Linked DNA regions of Kluyveromyces lactis. The protein of the gene in region 2 interacts with the protein of the main gene of each other region in a biochemical or structural test. Links are inferred from orthologs where the notes say so. Each region holds a gene or a part of one and is shown on either strand. Other genes may lie near its edges.

Evidence for each region.
Region 1: of the proteins of SWE1 (region 2) and CDC34, one has a biochemical effect on the other in vitro, tested with the Saccharomyces cerevisiae proteins (2 studies listed by BioGRID). The link is inferred for Kluyveromyces lactis from reciprocal best matches to the Saccharomyces cerevisiae genes SWE1 and CDC34.
Region 3: the proteins of SWE1 (region 2) and HSL7 form a complex in vitro, tested with the Saccharomyces cerevisiae proteins (2 studies listed by BioGRID). The link is inferred for Kluyveromyces lactis from reciprocal best matches to the Saccharomyces cerevisiae genes SWE1 and HSL7.

The regions. Positions count from the first base shown.
Region 1 is NC_006040.1:770,226-774,817, forward strand, and holds CDC34 (SCF E2 ubiquitin-protein ligase catalytic subunit CDC34), read left to right. Parts: upstream 1-2,569; coding exon 2,570-3,448; downstream 3,449-4,592. Other genes in the region: MDM36 (Mdm36p), read right to left, coding at 1-859; KLLA0_D09218g (uncharacterized protein), read right to left, coding at 4,563-4,592. UniProt on the Saccharomyces cerevisiae protein: Catalyzes the covalent attachment of ubiquitin to other proteins. Capable, in vitro, to ubiquitinate histone H2A. Mediates the initiation of DNA replication (transition of G1 to S phase in cell cycle).
Region 2 is NC_006038.1:657,702-663,407, reverse strand, and holds SWE1 (tyrosine protein kinase SWE1), read right to left. Parts: upstream 3,818-5,706; coding exon 1,649-3,817; downstream 1-1,648. Other genes in the region: CCP1 (cytochrome-c peroxidase), read right to left, coding at 4,579-5,619. UniProt on the Saccharomyces cerevisiae protein: Protein kinase that acts as a negative regulator of entry into mitosis (G2 to M transition) by phosphorylating and inhibiting the mitosis-promoting cyclin B-bound CDC28 at 'Tyr-19'.
Region 3 is NC_006039.1:1,373,626-1,379,461, forward strand, and holds HSL7 (protein arginine N-methyltransferase), read left to right. Parts: upstream 1-2,282; coding exon 2,283-4,619; downstream 4,620-5,836. Other genes in the region: protein kinase MEC1, read right to left, coding at 1-1,118; cyclin-dependent protein kinase regulatory subunit CKS1, read right to left, coding at 1,527-1,925; KLLA0_C15851g (uncharacterized protein), read right to left, coding at 4,699-5,836.

The DNA.
Region 1 (4,592 bases), on a different chromosome or scaffold from region 2:
GTGCCTTGGCGTAATAGTGTTCAGAGTTCGTTAACAGTGTTGAATTTTCTTCTAATAACCAAGTGAAATTGAACGCTTGGTACATGCCTTCCACGTCCATGAAGATCGCCAGACATTCTTCAAACTCTGATTGATCATCAACTGTCTCAGCGTCCCGTAGCTGTTGTAAAAGTACTTTGATGAAAGATTTATATGAAGATATCGTCTCTTTTAGGGATTCCAAATTTGCCTTGGTCATTTTATCCATATTGGTATTGTTGATTAATTCCAATTCGTAATCTATGAGAAGGAGCTTGGATCTCATGAAAAATGCTGCAACTTTTCTCTTCAATTTCCTTAGCTGGTGACCACATAGAAACCAAATCTCCAATAACAGAGTCATTGCATCCGACAGGAGTACAGTAACATCGTTTGTTTCAGTCGCCTGTTTTATGAAAACCATAACCGACCTTGAATCAAGCGACAATTGTTCCAATGCTACGGATAATTTATCACATTTTGATATTGTCTTCAAGGCTATATCTCTATCGAAATCTTCTCCCTGTGATTTATTCCCGGAACTAGCCAATTCACTCGTACCGATAATATCTTGCAATCCAAACCTTAGCATCACGGTTTGTTCCAACGTCTTTAAATCCCATGACTTAGCCAACAGGAAGCTCAACTTGACAAGATCTGTATAAATAGATAGTGATTCTTTACACTTTTCCACGGTTCTTTCATGCAGTTCATCGTTTATAATTTGAGTACGGTCCGATGTGTTTTGAACGCGCGCATCCTCGATCAACTCCGTAATAACTTTCGCATCAATGGTATCCTTATTTTTGAACTGCGAGAGTATCGGATCCTTATAACTCATGATATCGCAATGGATGGGTTCAAAATTTGTTATTAGTTGCTTTAAGATGGATATTTCAAATTGCTATATCCAGCTAGAGAAAACTTGAACCCCACAAACAATAAAACGTTCTCAATGACACAGTTTCGCACAGTAAGCTGATACCAGGTATTTTCACAATTTGAAGAACCTGATTTGATAAGTTGGCCAACGCAGAGAAAGAAAAATAACGGCAGATTTCTTATACCAAGCCCTGTATTTATCTTCATCACTATAGGCATTTGTCCTATATTTTATACTGGATCTGAAATAGTAAATAGACAGAAAAACAAGAAATAATCTTCTGATTTAAAGGAAAATAAGTCAAAGAAAGTACTTTGGACGAAAACAAATTTCGGCACACAAAGAAAAGCGCGCAGACGAGAAAACATATAGCATCGAGTTGCAACTCCAACACGCCGTCGCGAGATACAAATCTTATAACGTTCCGAATGTGAGGACGGCAGGATCTCAGCAAAACATCCACCTTGAGGTGAATATGTAAGGGAATTAGGCCTGTTGAGCTATGGTGAAGTGCTGTATAGTTCAAAATGGTACGATTCAGACTTGATGAGCGTTATTGCCCTATGGCTCAGTTCGGAAAACCTTACGAGAATGAGAAAAGAAGGAGATGGTGATTGGTGTTCACGTGACCTAAGGTCACGTGAACTTTTCCACTGTTCCTATCGGTGAAAGCGGCGAGTCTAACGTTTGCTGACGCCGAGCAGAATATACTACTGCCCGATGAAGAACTAGTCTAGAGTATAAATAAGAATCTTGAACGTAACAACTGACTACCAGAGTTCTCCGATTCACATTTAATCCTAGTGTTCAGCTTATCAGTTAAAATGCACGCTCTCACAACGATGCGGTAGAAGTGATATTTTGCCGGATGCATTAGATACATTCGAAAAAATTGATGTAATTGGCCCCCGCATTCCCCATCAATTGGAAAATAAACATTCATGCGTAAATGTTGATGCCTTAAATACTGTTACTTTCATCCATGGATTATTAACGCATACCTGGTTGTGCAAATCAACATGAATAATGCCTGGGGACGAAAAGCTTACAAGACGGTAAAAAATATAGAGACATATAGCTATAGTATAAATATCGATTAAACCCCCAACCTGAACAATAGAACGGTATCTTCCAAGAGTACACAACCCAACGGTTTTTGCTTATTTTGTCTTGGGACGGTTTTTCTTGACTTTTCGGCATTCAGCTTGGTTCTTTTTTGTAAACCAGTTTCAGAAGAAATTTAAAAGGTCAAAACACAGACAACTATTAATTTTAATTACAAATTATTGTATTTGCATTTAAATGAGAGTATCAATAAACAGGTGATAAGGAGAGGTTGCATAGACTTTTGGGCGGGTATACTTGTACAAACGCAAAAACTCACACTACTCAGTTGGTATATTGTATTGTCCTATCTTTTGTTTGGCTTTACGTTTCATTACTTTTTTCTTTCTCTTCCTAACGTTTTTGTTAAGTTCTAGCAACATATTATTGTCAAATTTACTCGGAGATATCTTATCACTGAGGAACACCAAGCAACAGTTACTTCTAATCGTCAGCCCTAATAACTGAACTTTCTTGGTCTGGATATATCAGTTTTGGAAAAAGGGGGAAGTTTCAATCAGCACACAGAACATCTTTTTACCATAGAAATACTCTTTCTAAAGTATGAGCGGCAAGAATACTGCAGCTTCTTTGTTATTACGACAATACAGGGAACTCACTGATCCGAAGAAGGCTATTCCTAGTTTCCATATTGCATTAGAAGATGATTCAAACATATTCTTGTGGAACATCGGTGTAATGGTCTTAAATGAGGAATCCATCTACCACGGAGGTTATTTCAAGGCTCAAATGAAATTCCCGGACGATTTCCCATTTTCTCCTCCAACTTTTAGATTTACTCCAGCAATTTACCACCCGAACGTTTACCGTGATGGTAGGTTGTGTATTTCTATCTTACACCAATCGGGGAACCCCACCTCGGATGAGCCCGATGAAGAAACTTGGTCTCCAGTACAGACTGTGGAATCAGTGTTGATTTCTATTGTCTCCTTGTTAGAAGATCCAAATATTTCCTCTCCAGCTAACGTCGACGCTGCTGTTGACTACAAGAAGAATCCGGATCAGTACAAACAAAAGGTAAAACTCGAAGTGGAAAGATCAAAACAGGATATCCCGCAAGGGTTCGTGATGCCAGAATCAACAAAGGCGTATGTTTCCCAAAGAAAGGCAAATGAAGGTATTGACACCATCAAAGAAACCGTTGCCGATAATTTCTGGTACGACAGTGACGAAGGTGATGAAGATGTGGATATCTATGCATACGAGGATTCAGAAGATGAAGAGGATAATGACGATGTTTTCAGCAAAGATTCTTCAAACTTGAATTTCAGCAAAAAAGCTAACAAAAACGATATCGACTCAGATGAAGATGAAGATCTGGTGCCTGAAGAAGCAGAAGATTCTCTAGATGAAAGCGTAATGGATAGAAGAAGTAAATTAATGGAAGAAAGCGAGGAGTTAGAAGATGCAGAAATGAAATGATATGAATCCCTTACAACTTTTTTATTCCCTCAGAAGCAGTGCTTCTCAGCGTATCACATTCATTCACATTTCTTTCCTCACTACTGTCTTGTCTTTCTACTTCAATATACAATTATAAACACACGTTGAAGTTTGGTTACTACTGTAGTGATATACTATTTTGACCTCCAGTATAAATTCATGAACCTGTAACAACTTCAACGTCTTTATTGATTTTGTTTGGAGCATTCGCACCTCTAAATGATGATTGTCATAACCAAACATAAAACTGGAAACTGTCCTTTTTCAATTCACCATAACGCTGAATCTACATTTCAGCCCCTCAGATATTATATTGGAAAGTGAACAACTAACGATGCATCAAGTAACTAATAACTTAATAACACTTTTCGATGACAGTAACCCTAGCCGGTGCTGTGTGCAATATCTATGGAATGTTTTTTCTGGTTTTGGACCTCCATCAGGATATGAGATATAAGGGGGTTGTAAGAAAGACAAAGGAGGAAATGCCTGAAAGATTTTCAAATGGTATGAATTCGAACTTTAGAAAGTTCCTTGGAAATGAGTTCTAATTATGTGAATTGTCTTGACAACTATGCATCCTTCATTTCTTTTCTTTCCCGTTTAATCATGCATCAATCTCGTAAACTTGTTCGGACTGATGATAAATCACTAAACAACACATTTCAATCTAACATCTTTACAAGATCACTATAATAATTTCGAATTTTCTTCAACATAGAAAATATACATAAAGCTCTTTCAAACTTCTTTCATTAGCTACAACCGTCAATTATATCATTAAGAACTTACCTCTGGTGACTTTCCTATTGATTCAGTTATCATATATATATATATATTTATTGATAGGCCCACGATCAAAACAAAATATATACATCATGGTATACCGTCATGTTTATCCCTGACAGAAAATATACCGCTTTTGTAATGTTATTCTTACCCCTTGGTATTAGTCCACAGCTCAGGGTTCACGTTGAATTTTATATTTCACACGTATTTTGCAATATCTTGCTTGTTCCCCTTTAAAAACTGCCTGAGTAAGAACTTGTAAAGTCACAGCACCTTATCCAAAATTTGTAAAAAAGGGCTTCTATCAACGACGAATGTTCTTATCTGGCATACT
Region 2 (5,706 bases):
TCAATTGTAGTGGATTTTGTCAACTTCTAGGAACCACCTTGAATAGTATCAGCCTTTAGATATTAGAAATATTCGTTATATAATACTACTTGGGTTATTTGTTAGTTCAGACATATACTTTTTGTTGTCTTAAAGAACCAAGGATAAGAATCAACAATGGCTGTATGTTAACAAGCGAAATAGTGCTGAAATGGTTAATAATGGGGCAACTTGGACTATTGTTTGATAATCAGAGAATGAATAAAGATATACCGTAATTATTGAAAGGAAAATAACGATAAACCGAGCAGATGAACTGTCTAAGGAATGAAATGAAACGAAACAAACTTTGATGATATGGATGAGGGCATAAGTTTTTGGAATTTAAGGACTAATAATAGATGTAAAATGGAATAATTTTCTCTAATCGGTCGGTTAAATGATGGAATTTACCTGATTGTATTAAGCTTAACCTACCGAGTGGACATTCTATTGAAGGGACAACGAAGAAATTATATCAATCTTTAGATGAGGATAAACTCAGGAAATCAATGAGATGATCGGCCCTTTTTAGCGACTCTGAAAAACAAGAAACACGCCTCACATTCTGTCTCCAGATGAGCTGTAGTTCAGTAATGGCGTGATGGATATCAAGGTACCAGCCACCCCGTACGTTTCAAAAATCACAATTTTACTAACAATTTTCTATCATTTCGTGTGATATTCTTTTAAACAGGCTAAGAAGTCTTTCATCATCAAGCAGAAGTTGGCTAAGGCCAAGAACCAAAACAGACCATTGCCACAATGGTACAGATTGAAGACCAACAACAAGATCCGTTACAACGCTAAGAGAAGACACTGGAGAAGAACAAAGTTGGGTTTGTAAACTTTTTGTACATATCGGAAGAACGCACAACAATTTTTCTTATTATGTCAATTTTCTCTACAGTTTGCAAAGTATACTCTACTTATGTATAGATAGGGTCAGTTTAATAAATTCAACATCGTTTTACGGTTTTTAATTAAAACTATGTATTACTCAAAGATATTATCTTTATGTTAACCTCTTTTTTAATCTAAAAATTCATACTCTGCCAAGTATTACCGAATTGCTTCGCGTTGGAATATCAACAAGGTACGGTATGCAAAGATAAATGGATGAGGCTACATAGATAATTCAAGTTTTGGAAAAATATCAGAGGTATTAAAAATGTTCAAATACACTAAAATCATTATAATTTCAGATACTATCTAGCTTAAAGAGTGTTTGATAACTCATCATATTATTGATCCAAAACGCGAGTTCATTATATAAGAATTGTGGGTGTTAACCTATAAGTATGCACAAGTACGTGCATCCTCTAACGTGACCTCACGTCGTTATCCCCACCTGGTGTTCGTTTTTGTTCAAACGTTGCACACCACTGCATCTCTCTCGTTGTAATTTCTCATAAAGTCTCTGAATATCTGTTTAATATACATGTTCCTCATGTATATTTTTTATGTCAAAAAATTAAAAAACCAGTAAAAGTAAAAGGAAAATGAACGGAGCTGTTATTATGTCAGTATTAGGGCATTATAGAGAAAGAACAGACGTAAACTGGTTTATGTAAAGCTGGTTTATGTAAAGCTGAATATCATAACATGTTCTATATTTTCTTGAAGTGAATTAGGAGAAGAATTCTGGTTTTGGGCCGTAGTCATCCTCATGAATAACTGCACCTGTCTTTCTTGTTAGTTCTACATATTCTAATTCCTCGGTGCGGAGTAAATCAGATGCAGATGGACGATCTCTGTAATCCGGTTCGATCATCCATCTGATAGTCCTTTCCAGCGATATTCCGTCTAATAAAAACTTCGGTACCCACGCTGGAATTTTTGTCTCATGCGTTGTGATGTCAGTGATATTCGTATGATCTTTTTTATTGGAAAAGAGTGAGCTCGAATGGATCTCCGCACTACTTAATCTGCCAGCATCAGATAGATCACCAGACCTCAATTTATGCCATGCACTTCCGTTATCAGGCAAAATAACGTTAGCAGCGATTTCAATCATCATTAGCCCAAGGGAGAAGATGTCAGCACGGAAATCGTATATTCCGTCACGTATAATTTCCGGGGCAATATATTCACGGTCACCCTCGTTTTCAAAACTTTTATCTTCTATTGGCAACTTTGTAGCCATCCCAAAATCAGCAAGTTTCAAATTACCTTCGAAAGTTATGAGAACATTAGCTGGCTTCAAATCTAAATGAACAATTGAACAGGAATCATGGATGAATCTCAAAGCTAGACAGATTTCAACGATAATCTTCCATATCCTCCAATCTTCCAATCGTTGTTGTTTAGCAATGACGTGCTCTTGTATAAAAGCATCTAAATTTCCATTTTCGCAGAATTCTGTCATTATATAAAATGAACCTTTATGTGACCACGAAGAAATAAATTCTACGATATATTCCTTACCTTCTGTGTCATTTGTAACTGAATCCTGAATTGTTGACAACATATTGATTTCTTGTAGAATTCGATTGGTAAAATTATGTTTAGTTGGTCGTACACTTTTGATGGCGTATTTTAAACCAGTTTCTGGGAAAGTCACTTGGTAGACAGTAGAAAACTGACCTTTTCCCATTATGGATACATTACTGAATTTGGTCGTTAGATGGAAATCAGGGTTTTTCATGATACTTGCATTGATTGATCTTTGCTTCTCAGGTGGTTGAAGATGTGTTGGATCGTTTCGCAGTTTTGTCATGATAGCCAGAGAATCAGGACCAATATCAAAGGATGTTTTCGTTGGAGTTTGAAGATTTGTCTTTGAGGGTGACGGTGAAAAGATTGAACTTTCTTGATCGTGTCCGTACAAATCGTCCGTGATTTGTCTCAACATTGAGGTCAATTCTGTGTTCTTTACAATTTTAGTTCTCTTTTTAGATCTTGGATTAGAGGAACTGGTAGGAGAGTTTTCTGATGAAGGTAACACGGTATTTATCATCGGGGGAGATTTGAAAAGTTGGGAATCATACATCGTAGGAAATGTCGTCTGATTTTGTGCTGACATGATAGATGAATGCTCTAATATTGGTGTGTCCAAAAGTTCTTGGTCAGAATGTCTCGAAACCAGCGGAGACTTCTTCACAGGCGTATCTGGTATTGTCAACTTCTTGGGTAGAATTGTTTGTTTCATTTTGGAAATAAGGCCAGATGACTGAAAAGCTACAGGATCCGGTTTTGCTTCTGTAAACGAATTATTACTTTTTCCTGTAGTCTTAGTGGAGGACAAATCACTAGATGTTGCAGCATTCGTACTATGCCAACTCTTTAAATATGCAGCATTGTTCTTGGAAAATGGAGAGGATATATTGAATCCAGTCTTGCTCACAGTTCTCTTTAAACTATTAGATGCTGAATTGGAGGCACTTGTAGTGATGAGGGGCCTTTGAAGCTGTGGTACTCTGCTGTCGATATGGGACTGATTTTCCTCATTAAACTTTTGATCTTTCACATCAGGCGTTTCAGTCTCCAATGAAAGATTGAGAACACCAACACTTCTCGTAAGACCCAACGGAGTGTCATTAGAATTAGATCTTGAACTCAGAGGTTCCGAGTAAAACTTGAGATTATTGGAATTGTTACTGAAGTGCGAAAGCTGGTCATAGTAATGAAACTCAACGTCCAGGTCCATATCCGTATCAAGATCGACATCACTTTGGTATGCATGGTCAGTCTCTTCTTCATTTATGTCTTGGTAAACTTCTACCCGAGGTGAAAGTGCAGTGTTGACAGTTACGCGCCCAAAGTTTGGCTGCAGTGAGTTTTTCCGTTTCGATGGCATTGTTTATGTCGTGCTTTTGATGATCCCCTTCGATGAGTACTTTATTCTTCAGTGATTACTTTTTGTCACACCGTCGAGTAACTATTTACTGAAACAAAAACACCCAAATTATGGCCCCTTGGCGGGTGGGTTCTCGTTGTCCTTGTTCTGAACTGTCAAAACAGAACCTGGTACAGAATTAACAGACAACCAGGAAAGCTGTCTTAAAACAACAAACAATAGACTTTTGTCAACTATTGGAAGGATCCAATAGAACGAATCTAGTTGATGGTAGAACTGTGATGGTTAAAGTGTTGAGGTTGGTTCCTCTAGATCTCTTTTTTTTTGTTTTCACCTGTGTGTTTACTTCATCGATTTTTGATCTTCTCAACACGTCGTTCTGTTTCTATGTTTTTCGTTTTTTTTCGCGTGTTGATGATTTTCGTGGCAATCGTTAGGCAACTGCAAAGACGGGCCATTCCCTAACATAACACACTTGGCAAGAATGAGCCTGGCAGGACTATTATATGAGTGGAAGGGCAGAATTTCTATGTTTCAGTGGGGATCACTGTTTCTATCGAATGTGCGTCTGTTCAGAAACTTGCATATCGTCGTGTTTTTTCTTATCCGATTTGAATAAATAGACAGTTATGATAGTTCACAACGTATATAAGAACTAACATAAATAATAAATAGCAGGCACTTTATGATATGACGGCCTGATGCTGCAGTGTTTTGTGTGTGTTTATGTGTGTGTTTTGCTTGATTCTTGGAGTAGAAACTTATAAGTCTTGGGCATCAAGGGTCTTGAATTTTATAGGTTTGTTTTCTTGAGGGAAATCAATACCGTTTTCAAGTAATACTACAAAGGCCTTGGTGAATTCTTTAAAGAATGTGTCTTGGTCGTTTGCAAATTCTTTCACGATAGGCAAGTATTTCGGATCCTGTACCAAGGCCATATCTGTTGGTAACATCATCCAGCCCTTATCGTTGACGTATTGTTTGTTACCGGCATCGTTAGTGATGAGGTCCCATTTTTCGTTTAGCAGGTTGTTGTAGAATTCATTGGTGAAGATATTGGTGGCAGCACCCCATGGGCCTTCGAAGCCAGAGTTCTTCAAATGTGTCTTACCCAAAGCATGCGCACCCAACAATGCAACTACTTGTCTATCTTCGAAGTTTAGTCTGTGGAAGAAGCATCTCACGTATTTCGCATCTTTAGAAGCATCAGGTAATCTACCGTTTTCTGGAGTAGTATCCTCAGGTTGGTCCACACGACCAGATCTCCAAGGAATTGTGGGACCTTGCATCTCTTGAATCGCCGTAACGCCAGCCAAACTATATAAATCACCATGAGATAACCAAGGGTACTTCTCGTGGATTGGTTCCAAGAACTTCGCAGCGTTTTGCAACCCATTGTTGGACGGATCGTTGGTCTCCATCGCGAATCTGTAAGTACCACCGTAAGGACCACCGGTGTTATCCTTTGCATCCCAAGTACCAGCACAGTGCCATGCTAAACGTACTAACACAGGTCCGTAACCGATAAAGTCGTCGTATTCGTCTTCGTCCCTTATCTTGAGCGCAATATCGTTGTAAACTTTTTGATACTTGGCAACGTCGTATTTCTCCTTTGCTGCGACATGAGCAGCTGCTAACGCAGCCAATTTTTGTTTGTTATAATTACGATTGTTGTAATTCCTCATATCTTGATATTCCATCACTGTACCAGTGGCAGAACCGGCAAGAGCACCGGCACCGACTATAAATGACAACGTCTTGACGTTGACACGTCTGAACACATTACCGAAAGTTGTTGACATTCTCTAAAACAGCCTTAGCTTGTTGATGGTCTACCTACTTTAAGTCTACTTGTAAGAATAAATCCAACATCATGGCAATCAATAACC
Region 3 (5,836 bases), on a different chromosome or scaffold from region 2:
GCGGTGTCACCATCCTTTATCGTGTTTAGTAATGATTCTTTCACCTTATCGTAGAAAGATCTTATATCAGCACTATCAGCTATACAATTTCGAACATTCCCAGAGACTAGACGTAGCTTCGGATTTTCTATGGCTTGATGAAGCCAATGCAATTGCTTATTAGAGAATGTAAACTCTTCCATCGATTCCAGGAACCCTAGTTTCACTGAAACGTATTTTATCGATCTAATAAACAGGGGATCAGCATTCTTATTCGTGTTGATCCATTCATGTAATTCGAATGTATTCTTGATCTCTGCCAACTTTGATTCGTCATGGATACAAAGGTACAAAGTCCGTAACAAAGTCTTGGCTAAAATGGTCGGAGAGATATGCTGATGATGATCTTTAATTAAAGTTTGTATGAGGTCAAACGAGAATCTGAATATTGACAATGACTCTTTAGATAAAGAGATGTAACGAACAAGTAATTGCAAGATGCTCGCAACTTCGACACTTGGTTCGTTAGTTGATTTCAAAACAAAGGCTAGCAATCGCATCAATTTCTGAAACTGACTTTGCCATCTTCTATAGCTGTAATTTCGAAGTAGTCCATCCCTCATAATCCAACCGTTCACTATCACTATTTTTTTCAAGAGGGAATGAAACGTCGGCTTCTCTAGCTTACCTCTCAGACATGTTACTAGTAACTTTTCATACTGAACCATTTGTTCAGTGAACCAAATCTGTAAATTGGAGGTCGATGCAAAAGAGTACGCTTTTAACCATGCACTCACGTATTTGTTTATAAGCCAAATATATTGCATATTGGACCAATGCATTAGCGAACAACTAACCATATTGTTTAAAATAACCTCGATCATAGTAATCTCTTTAACATTGGCTGAGAAAAGGTGTTGGTTGCATCGCAGAAATAAATCAAGTGCTTGAAAGGATTTGTGAAAGATCACCTCATCCGTATTCGTAGATTGCGTATTCTTCAACAATGTCTGTAGTAATTTCCCATTCTTTTCATCTAATTGCAAAGTGCTATCTAACTCTATACCATTTCCTACAGTTCCTGCTGATTTTAACGCCAGTATCAGTTCTTCCAGATATTTTACCCTAGGATTATCCATTTCCTATACGCTGAGAAGATATTACTCTTACACGGCAACTGCACTCTCAATCACACTCACCTAGGACGCCCTAACGAGAGAAAACTGTGTTTCTTTCATAGTCCAGCGTTTGTTTTTGGTTAGTTTCATTATTTATAATTTGACTTATATACAAATTTTGGTATCAATAAGGAATCTCAACACATACATAAATGTGGTATGTACATATGCTAAACACTTCTCCAGAAGTACAATTCAGGCGTCTTAAGCCATTTGCAAGTTTGACAACAGAAGACTAACTTACACAAAGTGTGCAGCCAGGAATTGCAGATCTTTGGGGAAACATTATTCTCTCTTATTAACAGTGTAACGCGTAAAACTGGAATACGATTTTCTTATTATTTCATTTTAAAGTCTTTAGTGGGTAGTTCATATATTTTGACTTTGTTGGCCTGCAGCAATTGATTTTTGCTGCTGCTGTGCGGCAGCATGCGCCGCACGTATTTCAGCCTCGTAATTCAGTGGTCTCTTAAATAGTAAAATATGTGGTTCAGGCGCATGGCATTCGTAATGTTCCCATCCCAGAGATTGTGTAATTCCTAACCCTCTCCATTCGTCTTCTGTTAAGATTCGCAAAGTACCAGTGTCTCCGTTGAAATAATCAGAAGGTATCACTTTTAGCATGGCCTTGGGAAGCATTACATGTCTGTATTCGTGTGTATCGTCGGAGTATCTTGGTGAATAATGAATGCTATCTTGAAATTCGAGAACTCTCGTTCTTTCCTGATCAGAAAGCTTTCTGCCTTGGAAAGCGTGCGTCGAATACATTGTTAGATTCGATCACAACTTAAGCTATACAATTGGAGTGTTAATTAACCCTAGACTACTGATGCTGGATCTTATTCGCTCATCACATATCATGTCTTTAGCATAACTGAAAAGATCTTAGGTATTAAAATAGTATTGTTTACAAAAAAAAAATGAAAATAAATATTGTTTAGGACAGAAACCAGATCCGTCACTATTGATGGTCAGAGATGAGGTAAAAGAATAGGACACAGAGCTATCACTGGTGTAGTGTCTACCATAATTACGGTATAGCTGAAGAAGGGTTTACCAATAAACGTTTGACTGTTGTTGTGAAACTGTTCTGCGTGCTGCGTTTGTGTGTTTGTATGTGCTGAAATGGCAAGTCGAAGTAATGTTTTCGTCGGGATCAAACCTCACAGTGAACATTCCGCTGATGTTCTTGGAACTTCTTCTACAGATAAAAGAGTAGAGAATTATGACTATGTGCTGCTGCCCTTGACAAATACCAGATACAAGGATGCCATGAAGGCCAAGTTTGAAGATTTTCGAGATCACGGTCATGGATGGAATGAAGAACTAAAGTTAGATCCTCCTCAATTGCAAGAGCTGGGGGTATTGCCATCTAATGGAAATGTTTCATATATTGGATTGGTCTCTTACTTTTTAGAGCTCGAGAGCCATGATGCTGATGTCCGGACTTTATCTTTGCAAGTGTTGGAGCACGAATTGCATTATGCAAATTTCGTTGGAATCAGACAGGTTATCTTAGCTCCTCCTAAAAAGTTACACACGCTTCATTACTACGCACAATCTTTGTGTACAGTATTTGATACTTTTAAAGAAGCGTGTCCGACAATATCTATTTCGTTACCTTTGTTTGAAGATTCAGATCCACTTTCGACTTGGGAACTGTGGAACACGATCAGGAAAATGTGCGGATACGAGCCTAAATTGACTGTATCTCTAGCTCTACCTAGACAGAAGACTCCCAGTTTTGTGCTAAACAGATGGCTGAGCGAACCTGTCACATGTCTTTTGATCTCTGCATCCATATTCACAACAAATCAATACAATTACCCTGTATTGAATAAATTTAATCAGCATTTAATCACTGAGTTCCAACGTGTTAACGGTAACGCATCAACATTTGGCGAACTAGCTATCGTTTTACATGGTATGGAGAAATACACGGATAAACTCAAAATTGAACCTACACAGTACCTAGAATACCTCAATTATTTATTGAAAAAGGGAGATAAGCTCATACTAATGGAGACCCAAGATGTTGTCCACAGTGCACCTACAATCATGCCTCCGCTACTACCCCATCATGATAATCTTTCGAATGCAGTTTACCAAGTTTTCGAAAAGGATACTGTCAAGTACGAATTATACGAGAGGGCTATCATGGTCGCTGTATCTGAAATTTTGACAGAAAATTCGTCCAGTTGGAGAGGCCCTACAGAACTTATCACATTAGTTGCAGGTGCAGGCAGGGGTCCATTGGTGGATAAGACATTCCAAGTGTTACATAAACTTGGAGTAACCAACTTCAGGCTATTGGCTATCGAAAAAAACCCACAAGCACTTCTCTATTTACAGAAACGCAACTTTGAACACTGGGACAACAAAGTTGAAGTTATCCGTACTGACATCCGAGAATGGGATGAAAATATTAAAGTCGATCTCTGCATCAGTGAACTTTTGGGGTCTTTCGGCTGTAACGAGTTATCTCCCGAATGTATTGCTCCAATAGAAGCTTTCCATTCAAAACCTAACACAAGGTTTATTCCTCAAGGATATAGTTCCTATGCGTCTCCTATATCATCTCCAATTTTATACCAAAGCCTCATTGAAAAAGGACCAGAATATCTCGAAAAACCTTCAATAATTCACAATGTTCCATATTGCCGTACATCATCCAGAGTAAATGAAATATGGTCATTCTCACATTTGCATCAACAACAGCATCAATTTAACAAAAGTTCAATATCCCACTTTCGAGTAAAGCATAAAAGTGAAATTCATGGTATTGCTGGATACTTTATTGCAACATTATACGGAGATATAACCTTGAGCATAGTTCCAAATGACTCTGTCATTAAAACTTTAGAAGATCAGGAAAATTCTAACATAGATAACTCCAGAAGCCATAACGGATCAACTGCCACTAAAGTGAATCATACGGAAAATATGAAATCATGGTCACCAATGTTTTTCCCCTTGAAGGAACCCTTGTTCTTAAATGATGACACTGAACTTGAAGTATTCATTACTAGAAATGACTTAAATAGCAGAGTTTGGTACGAATGGTCTGTATCATCATTTGTATACCTTGTGTCAAGTTCGGAAATACCAAAATCCGAAGGAGAAAGAGTACCCAGAACTGGATCGAAAGAAAATGCTGATATAGATACTCAGAACCTGACTAAAGCCTTCGCACGATTCGGTCCTCAGAATGACTCCTCAGAAATAGAAGACAAGTATTTTGAAGACTCAATCAATCATACCAATTTCATGTCAGGTAGAACAAATGAATGGGATAGTGTAAAAGACCTGCATGAGATACAAAATAGACATGATTCATCTAATCTAACTAAAGATCAAGAACAACGGAAAAAATCACTAACAGAAGAATATCATGTCAGAGTTAGGACTAATATTTCCAAATTGCATAATCCCAATGGATGCATATATTCGATTCCTCTATAAACAAGGCATTTATAAAAATCGAAGCAAACTTTAACCATTTAGTTTAAATCCGCATATCAATAAATTATTTACTTAATGTTCACCAAGGATTTTCTGTAAGTTTCATTTCATTAGAGGTCCAAACTGCATGTGCAGCGGGTTTTGGTTCGTCCATGTCTTCAAAGGCATTAGATGACACCTCAAACTGATTATCAATTTTGATCTGGTCATGAATTTCGTCTATTTCATCTTGTATCGCAATTGGTAAAATCGGCAAAAATCTATAACTGGACTCGCATTCATCATATAAAAAGTATAGCTCTTGAAGGGTAGGTAGAGTTAGCTTAACAGAAAATTCGATGTCAAGTAAAACGGGTTGTTGATCTTTGATAGCTTTCACCTTTTGCTTCAAAAGTTTCTTCATGCTGGTTTTTCCTTCATTGAGTTCATATCTGTAACGATCCAACGATTTATACAACTGTGTAACGTTTAATCGGCTTAACCTATCAATAGTACCATTCAGAACATCTTCATTCGGATCCAAGGAAGTGGCAACTTGTAACCATTGTAATAGTTGATAAACTGGTTCCAAATGAAATTGCCAGATATGTGCAAAAGATTGGTAAAAGAATAATGAGTTTGATTCGTCCGTACAAGGTTCCTTTTTGATCGGTTTATAGAAATAAACGTTTTCAAGAGGTTGAGAAGGCTTCTTCAGATCAATGGATCCAACATCTTGAACTATAGTCAGTGGGAACCTTTGCCACATGAAGTCATCCATTAGATCGGGCTTCTGGACAGAAAAGTTATGGTTTTTCACCCAATCTTGTAAGATCGAGAGATTCAATCTTATTTGCATCGCGTGTGCTCTTGAAGAGAGTTGCTTAGATTGTATAATCTCGTTGAAAATTGTATTAGCCAACCACTTAGATGATATAGACAAGCACTGTTGCAAAAGAACTGGATGAATGTCATGCAAGTCGAAAACATATGTCAAGGCACCAAAAATCTGAACGATTTTAAGAGGAGAAGGTTTCATTTGTTCCTTTACTGAGGGAGGATACAAAAGCTGAAGAATGTCGTCATATGAATCATGTTTCATACGCTTGAGCTTCCGCTTCTTGAAAAAGTTCCAGTCATTTTTGTACAACGTTTCCTTAACATCAGAGATCGTTGTATATTCAAGGATTCCAGGATGTAATAATGGTTCTAGTCTTGAATTGATGGATGCCGATAGA